2 linked regions of the Daphnia pulex genome follow. The protein of the gene in region 2 interacts with the protein of the main gene of each other region in a biochemical or structural test. Links are inferred from orthologs where the notes say so. Each region holds a gene or a part of one and is shown on either strand. Other genes may lie near its edges.

The links.
Region 1: of the proteins of serine/threonine-protein kinase mTOR-like (region 2) and repressor of RNA polymerase III transcription MAF1 homolog, one has a biochemical effect on the other in vitro, tested with the Homo sapiens proteins (2 studies listed by BioGRID and IntAct). The link is inferred for Daphnia pulex from reciprocal best matches to the Homo sapiens genes MTOR and MAF1.

Annotation. Positions count from the first base shown.
Region 1 is NC_060026.1:7,367,845-7,372,004, forward strand, and holds repressor of RNA polymerase III transcription MAF1 homolog, read right to left. Parts: upstream 2,588-4,160; 5' UTR 2,050-2,587; coding exon 1,967-2,049; intron 1,726-1,966; coding exon 1,567-1,725; intron 1,502-1,566; coding exon 1,345-1,501; intron 1,287-1,344; coding exon 1,159-1,286; intron 1,100-1,158; coding exon 980-1,099; intron 921-979; coding exon 857-920; 3' UTR 527-856; downstream 1-526. UniProt on the Homo sapiens protein: Plays a role in the repression of RNA polymerase III-mediated transcription in response to changing nutritional, environmental and cellular stress conditions to balance the production of highly abundant tRNAs, 5S rRNA, and other small non-coding RNAs with cell growth and maintenance.
Region 2 is NC_060027.1:5,105,758-5,110,249, reverse strand, and holds the start of serine/threonine-protein kinase mTOR-like, read right to left. Parts: upstream 2,895-4,492; 5' UTR 2,682-2,894; intron 2,566-2,681; 5' UTR 2,559-2,565; coding exon 2,466-2,558; intron 2,388-2,465; coding exon 2,121-2,387; intron 2,038-2,120; coding exon 1,939-2,037; intron 1,874-1,938; coding exon 1,680-1,873; intron 1,621-1,679; coding exon 1,425-1,620; intron 1,359-1,424; coding exon 1,197-1,358; intron 1,136-1,196; coding exon 966-1,135; intron 904-965; coding exon 732-903; intron 669-731; coding exon 398-668; intron 325-397; coding exon 205-324; intron 128-204; coding exon 1-127. Other genes in the region: RING finger and SPRY domain-containing protein 1-like, read left to right, coding at 3,253-3,491, 3,549-3,714, 3,778-3,963, 4,022-4,088, 4,149-4,289, 4,366-4,492. UniProt on the Homo sapiens protein: Serine/threonine protein kinase which is a central regulator of cellular metabolism, growth and survival in response to hormones, growth factors, nutrients, energy and stress signals.

The sequences.
Region 1 (4,160 bases), on a different chromosome or scaffold from region 2:
CTAAAGCTAAAGAGCAAACAATTTTTATTTACTTACTTACGTGTAGCATTTTTCTCAACTATTCCTTTTTGTCTTTGATTAAATAAAAAATGTATGGAAGGCATTGTGAACTCATGTCATTATGGCGCTGCAGCGTTTAAAATCTAGTTCTTCGGCCTCACATTTTAACCTGAAAAAAATTTCTGAAAAATGGTATTTACTAAAAAATGAGTTAGCAGTGAATGGATTAGTTATTTAATTTGTTTAAAGTATTTCATAGAGTATTCGGGTGTGAGCATCGGCAGCCTACATTCGATGCAAAAGTAGAAGTTCAAATCAAAAATGATAAGCGCCGATTGCAACTGTCTTCAAAAAAGGAGATCATACCTTCGTTATTTTGACATTTTCGTATCCATAACCAAACAATACAAAGAATTCAATTCTCCCCCCCCCCCTTTAGATGACGTAATTTAATGTTGCTGTTTTTCCTAATTAGTCGCTTTCGGCCATGCATAAAAGGAAACTCCGGATGCTCAGGAACACAATATAAAGGTAAATATGATTCCGTGTATTCGTATGCGACGCAGTTCGGAAGAAAAAAAAAGAAAAAACATTTATTACATCGTTTTCTTTTTTAAATTAAAGTAAAGACAGGTCTCCGGAGGAAGGATTTCCCGGAAGAAATGCTGACGTGCGACAGACGATCGAACTACTGAGAAAAATCTGATCGAGGTACGCCACTAAAAAATCTTGGACGTCTTATTTTGTAAAATTTCTATGTGTAAACATAAATCGAACGTCTACTTTTGACGACTAATGTAATTAAAACATTGAAATTGGCGTCGTAGTTCTGCTTTGTTGGCTGTTTGCTCCCACTTTATAGGAAGGCCTCTTCATCCATCATGAATTCCGCACCGCAACTCAGATCCATGTGGCTTAAACTAAAGATGTAACATTTTAGATATAACTGAATATCAATAATTTCTTCGAGATTATTTACCTGACAGCTCTGCAAGTTAAAAAAACAATGCGCTTTAGTTTCCGGTTGTAGAAAAAATAATTATAAGACCACAATGAACCATCTTCACCAAAGGGATCTGACGCCAGATCCGAATTGTAACTGCACAAAAATGATCAATATAAAATACCGAAGCATACTTCAATAAATCTTGAACGAACCTATAGATGTCGCATTCGGGCAAATTGATTTCATCGTTAATGGCAGCCCACAGCTGAGCATGTAATTTGGAATTGTAGAGATCTCCAGCTGTAGCACTCAAATTGTTATCGACTGCATTCATTACCCACTAAAAAGTTAAATTGGTTTAAGAAAGACTACGATAGCGAAATAATAAAAATTTTTACTTGAATCGATCGTTCGCGACTAAATTCTTCACTGCGAGCATAAGAAAAATCATAGTCTGGATGAAACGAAGCATTTAGTGTGGCGATAAGATAAAATAACGTTTTGCGGCTTATTGTGTCACATAACGGGCCTTCTTCATCTCCTGAAACGCTGCAACTAAATAGAAAATGTCGTATGTCTAATGACTCGTACTATTTTTTTTTTTAAAAAGCTCAATGCACCTTTGATTACTGAAATAACCTCCTGTTGGGGAAACAGCAAGCGCAGTTTGAGGAGCTGATAATACTTGAAGATCGTGCGGACCAGCACCGGCCTCTGAATGGAAACGCTTATACAGTTGTTTTTCATGTCCTGCCAATTTGCATGAATAGCTTTCAATCCTGCAATAAAGCAATTTTACTATTAGGTCAACACAGAGATCCAAATTTTGCAGAAATATGCATGGCAACCAGTCCCGGCTTTCTGATTGGTTGCTGAGGAAGCCAATGAAAGTGGCGACCTTGTTGCTTAGAAACAAACAATGAGCAAGTGCTTAAAATGTAAATATGAAAAAAATGTGGAAATAATACATATTTTATAGACTTAAAAAATGGGAATTAATTTTACTTTTCTATTCATTACCTTCCAATAATGTTGCAGTCTCCAGTGAACATATTAAGAGCAGAGTTAACTTGCTCAAAGCGACTACTCTCTAAAAGCTTCATCTTTCACTAATGATTTGTACTTTGCTTTAAAAACAACTTTGGGAAATAAGTCACTCACAGAACCAACAGCAGTTTAAACTTTAGTTTCTTAAAACACTTCGTGGATGACAGAAAACACCTTTTTTTGTGAACAAACTGACTGTTTCCATGACACAAAACCAATGTGTCAGTGCTAGGGTCACTTCTGACGTATAATTTTCAGTATAGATTCTTGAATTATGTCTACTGAATGATCTCAACATTGAAGGTTTTCACTACAAAAACGAACTCTTTGTAGTTTAACCCAGGAGATGAGATCACTTGATAAGCAAACAAGCACAGGTTCACAAATTGAAATAAAGAGGTGTAGTAAACCGCCTGTGCAATGCTGCTTTTACTTGGTAAAACTCAGCACAACGCCTTATAACTAGAAACCAATTTCTTTAAAGAATTATTTACGGATAGGAACAGGCAAACTACGCAGTTAACAAAAAAGGTTTGGTCTCTGATATTTGTTGACGGTTTTTTGTTAGGGTAGGGGTTCTTTGTTCTATTCCACACAGCGTTGCCAATTTCGATTATTTCGCAATCGCACTAGAAATTTCTTTTTGGATGCGGTACGCGGACCGCGGTACGTCTCCTGCGTTCCTGCGGACGTCACCGGAGTCACGAGTTAGTGTATTTTGCATATTCTTTACAATGCGTAAAAATAAACTAAATTTGGAGCCAATTTTTGAGTTAAGATTTCGTGTGCACAGAATAAACATCAAACTGATTCATTATGAGAAATAAGAAGACCGCTTTCCGTCCATGCAGGTCTAGTCTGAATTGTGAACATGATAAAAAAAACTATAGGTTTTGTTAATTGAATTACTGTAATACTGTAAATGGCACATATTGTCATTGAATTAGTGATATGTAATAGGCCGCGTGTCCGCCAATATTTTTTTTTTTTGAATTGCCTTGAATATACATACAGATTTTTAGAATCAGGTAGGCCTATAATAAGTCTTGCATAGAAAAAAACCATCTGTAACTGACATAAGTAAATGACTCTTCGTCATTTATACTGATGTATACCCCACTCTCCTTGGCTTCTGCGCTTCTCCCTAAAAATCTTAAACTGATCTAGTGATCTTGTTATTAGCAGTTATTAGTTCATCTCTAAAATTTCAGAGTATCGCAGTCTGTTGGTTACTTTAGAAATGGGTATGGAGAGATGGTTGCCAGTCTCCATGTTAAATTTCCCATAAGGGGTCGTCCGCTCATTTTACTAAAAGGTCTCTTTGTATGTCCATATGCCGCAACAGCCTAGATGGCATTGATTCAAAGGGGCCTCCGTATCATGCCCATACAAATGCCGTACAAATGTCGCTAGTAAAAAAGTAGCTTCCCTTCGAGTCCCCTTATGGGAAATTTAACATGGTTATTGGCAACCATCTCTCCATACCCCTGCTTTAGATGGATTTTGATGTACAAATCAAGAAATTCTCTATCTGGAAATTAAAAACCCCATTTATTCATTTAAATTGAACTCGTTAGGTGCTATTTAAATAATATTTTGTTTTTTCTCAAATTTTTCGTTTATTTATTTTCGGACTTAAAAAAATTAAGCAACTGTAGTCCGAATAAACAGTGGCAACGTCGCATCGTAGCCACAAAATTCAAATTCTCTATGGCAGATGGCAGACTTGCATTTTCGCAAATAAAAATACGTATATACTTATATTTTCATTAATATTTTCGAGGTCTGCACGTTCTGCATGCCCTTTGTTTGAAAATGACCCCAAACCGTCACAAGGGCTCTCGGATTTTGAATTGTTGTGTCTTTGCTGCGCTTGTCTAAGGTTTCTCTTAAAATATTGAAAAATCTATAAAAAAAATTTATTCCATCAACCTTACACAAATCAAATGTCAAAAACATCATGACACATCTAAATGTTAAAAATCAACTGCAAAAGCCTTAGCGCCAACTGCCACCTATAGTGATTTTGCTAACTAGTCATTTTTTATGAATCCTGTTGATGCGTTTCCTCGATCATGTAACAAGATTGGTGTACCATTGTGGTGTTCGAACATGTATTACTGATTTTATCGCAATAAATGAAATTCGCTGAATGTTTAGAACTGTA
Region 2 (4,492 bases):
GACTCCTGAAGTGCACATTTCAATAACTGACTGCATGTTCGCACAGCTTCAAGACGTATGGCCCTTTGCTCACTGCACAAAAAGTTGTCGGCACAATGGCGAACAAATTGTAAAAGTAGTGGTTGACCTAGCGACACAAACAAAATTATGTTGAAAAATCTGCGTCTCTCGTTCATTGAATTTTAAATAAATTGGTTTTTTAACCTTGAAAATCAAAACTCCCCAACGTTCTTAGAGCTAAAACGATGCTATTGACGTCATCCCCATTCGATGGTAGTGGTTGAAGTGCCACTGGAGTGAGCGCCATATGATGTTTTGGCATTCCTAAAATAGAATGGATAAATTAATTCAAGTAGAATGTACTTTTCCAAATTCGTTGTTTAAAATAAAACCATGCCTGGATGACGAAGTGGTTGGTGCATCAAAACTAGTGAAAGCATCCGCAAGAGTCCTTCGGCAATGTCTTTTTTAAGATGAGGAATTCTCAAGGCCAGTTCACGAAGACAAGTTGTCAGGGCAGGACTAAGTCCAACGGACAGCATGGGATCCAGTAGATCCTTGAACTCACTAGTTAGATGAGAACGACCAACGGCTCGGCCAAGCAGACTTAGACAGACGAAAACAGCAATATCAGGGGGACTGGAGCGTTTTTTGGTAGAAGATGGGTCCTAGTTTGGAGAAGTTTCGAAAATTAAAGAATTTTTCTTCTTTACACTCTTTAGTTTCTCTACTTTATTTTGAGGTAGAGAAGTCCGAACAAAACTAATAATGCCAGGGAGATGTGTGGCAATATCCCCTTCAATACACACTGCTATATAACCTATAGTTATCATTGCAAGGTGAGGATTTTTTTCTTTGCGGGTCAAACACGCCATCAAGTAGCTCATCGAAGGGCCCAAATACCTGGGGAAATTAAGTATGTATGGTCATTTGTCATTTTAAGAAATTTTCCAAAAATTTAATACCTATCAGAAAATCGGGTTCGATCATAGGCAGCCAGTCTAGGCAGAATTCCCATCAAAGCTGCTTGTACATGGCTGCTTTTTGAGATGCTATGTCGAAGAGTGTTGGCACAAATTTCATCAAAATGATCAGCAGTCAATTGGCGGCATGCAGCGCTTTCAACTATAGGGTACTGTTTGTATAGAAAATTCGTTCAGGTAAGTGGAAGTATTGCGATCAATTTTATAAATCACCTGCTGGGGCGCAACTATCGATAGTGGTGACACGGCGCTGGCTATCCTTGATTGAGCGACATGCCCTGGCAAAAGCCGGAGATTATTGTAAAGTGTAGGAGTGTTGATTAATTCAACAGCACCGTTCGGCAACACTCGGGAAGTTGTAGAAATTAGAGAATCCTTTGGTAAAAAATCATTGAGAATTATCGCATTTGCTCAGGTCATACAAAGATCGGCATATTCAACCTGAACAGTCTGTGAATGTAGTAAATTTAATTGCTCTAGTTCAGCGAGAAGTCGTTCACCCTCTGCATTCGAACAACGTAGAAGCTCTTGAAGAACCAAAAGAGATCCATGAGCTCTGTCGTCCTTTGTTAGTCCTTTATCTTTGGCTAACGGTTCCTCAAAACCTTGTTGGGCCTCGTCAAAGCATTGTTTATACCTAATTAATGGTTAATACTATATCTTTATGTGTTAAACTTGTACAAGCTTGTTTATTACCAAGTAGGCTTTTGAGCTTCTTTAGTTTCTCGCTGAGATGTGACGACTAAAGCAGAGCGTAAAGCAGCAACTGCGCCTTCTCGAATCATTGGTTTGGAGTCCCGAACAGCATAAAAAATAACGTCAAAAAAAGTCTGGACTTGCTGGAAAAAGAAAGTTGGCATGGATAAAGCCAATTCTCGCAAAACCAGCACCTGTGAGAAATTGAGTTAAAACTTATGGTATCAACATATCGTTAATGATGTTATTTTTAACTTACCGCTGCATGCCTACGACCTTCATTTCTCTCGCCACTGAGCCACTCAAAGGCTCGTTTTACTTCAAATTCCACATACTCCGCGGTGTAGCTTCCTGATACCTGTTTTATTAAAAATTGCATATCTATATTTATCATCTGTTTTAATTATGTGTAGAGGCTATTTAGATTTTTGTTTAACTTGCCAGTGTCAATTTTCCAAGTGCCCTTGCAGTTAACTCCATTACAACTACATCCTGAGATGGAAGTAAGTTTTTCAAATAGTTGGCAAATCTAGTCATTCTGGCATTGGTATTTCCAACATCTACTTGCAATAAACTAACTATGGCTAGAATGCCACCTTTCTTTTCATTGACATCTGAGCTGGACACCATGTCAAATATATGGTGATTCAAATCATCAACAAATGAAATTACATCTTCCTGCAATGCCTCTCTTAACTCAGATGTCACCTAAACAAATTAAGACAACATTAAAACAATTCTATATTATTTCCTTCTTAAACATTTAGCTCTTTATCCTTCTCTTACATAATGGTGTAAATCTCGGGCAGCCTTTAGTCTCAAATCTTCACTTCTGGATCTAAGCCCAGTGATGAATGTTTGCATCATTCCGGTTGCCATTCTGTAACTGAAATAAATAAAAAGGATAAAATAAAGGAAGCAGTTGATATAAATTCAATGCATAATCAGCAACAACTCAAAGGAGTAGTTCGAAAACATTCAAAGTCAACTGTCGCCAATCACCTCGTACCCCGCTAGCGAAAATTGAAATTGGACACTATATGTTATTTTTCCATTCAATCAAATAACTCTTTGTCTTCGACAAAAAAAGATAAGCCTTATTTTAAAAAGAATATGCAATACGCGAATTCCACAACGTGTAATTACTAATTAGACTTTACAGTATCAGTATGACTTATTTTAATAAACAAACTTGTGGACTTCGACATCTGACGGAAGAAAAAGAAAACTCCAAATTGTGTTACTCCTCATTAGGCATTAGATACTATTAGATGTCCGGTGAAAGGATGGCTCTCCTATAAGCGCCCCTAGCGGATATCTATGTTCGCGTTATAAGCAGCAGACGATACCTTTTTCATCGAATTTCTCAATACTAGATTACCATCCATATTTATAACATGGTTAAATAGTGCTACTGAAATTAATTGTTGAACAACGTCAAATCCATTCCTGGTCAATCCATATACACCCACTTATAAACTTAACTAAGATGGAGATCAAATTGCACGTTTGAATAGTGACGATCTCTCTCAAATAACATGTTCAAATTTAATTTCCACTGAAGCAGTTAAAAATGGGACAATGCTTATGTTGTGACGAAAAGGATGGGGAACTACCCTCTCTCTCAGTGCCTCAACCAGAAACTGCCAGCCTCCCAAGTCCACTGCAATCTAATATTTCAGTTGATAGAGACAGAAGTTTCCCATCTCATGTTATACCAGCATCTGAGGCCTCACACTTGAGGCGAATGCTACCCCATATTGACAGTCTTGTTTTGCAGACATTAGCTGTCATAGGAAATTTAGTTGAAAAGTATGTTTTTATTATATGTTCCTATGTATCCACTTTAATTATTCCTTCTTTGTTTAGTGATCAAGAAACACCTCCTTCAATGTTAAGATTACAAGCTCTTTCTAACAAAGGGCATGGTTGGTTGCTTGTTCTACATTCCATGGTTAATGTAATACCCATTAATGAACCCCTTGGACCTGCTGTCATCACTCTGGTGCTAGATGACTGTGCCTTACCAGCAAAGGTAAGATTTTAATCATATGTTAGACATTGTTGCTAGGTTAAATTTTCACCATTTTTTTTTCAGGATTCCATTACTAAAGTCCCCCGGATGTTTTGGCTGTCAGCTAAAGCTAGTAAAAGGGGAAGATCAGATCCTAATCGTCACAGGAATATTTGTATTGCATTGGGCTGCATTGCTGAAAAATTGGCTGGGCCTACAAGTGTTGCTTTGCTAACTGACAGCACATTGGATTACCTTATAGCCAACCTGGTATGTCTGACAATCAATCTTTGGTCTCACTTTATTTTCAACAATGTATATCTTTTAGGATCCATCAAACCACCCACCAGTAGTACTGTTTTCATTAATTGCTCTTGAGAAATTTGCTCAAACAAGTAAAAAATAATAATTATAACTAGTTTGTAGGATTTGTTTCTCATTTTTCTTCTATTTAGGTGAAAACAAAATTGCTCTCAATAAAAGATTCCACCAAGAAACCCAGCATCCACTTTTGGTGTTGGAAAAATGGAAATCGACCGACGATTACATGAAACGTCAAGTTGGATTCTGTTCTGAATGGTGTCTTGATAATCTATGTATGCATTTTTTTAAAACTCTTTATCACACGTTTGAATGAACCTTAATTTTGAATGCTATTCATTTCTGTAACAGTCGTTAGTGAGGGGCGATCGTTCACCTACGAACGCACAGATACAAGTGCTATCAATGTTATGCTTAACAGCCAAGATGTTAGCGAATATCTCAAAATTGCAGCCAATGGTCTTGAAGCTCGCTGCGA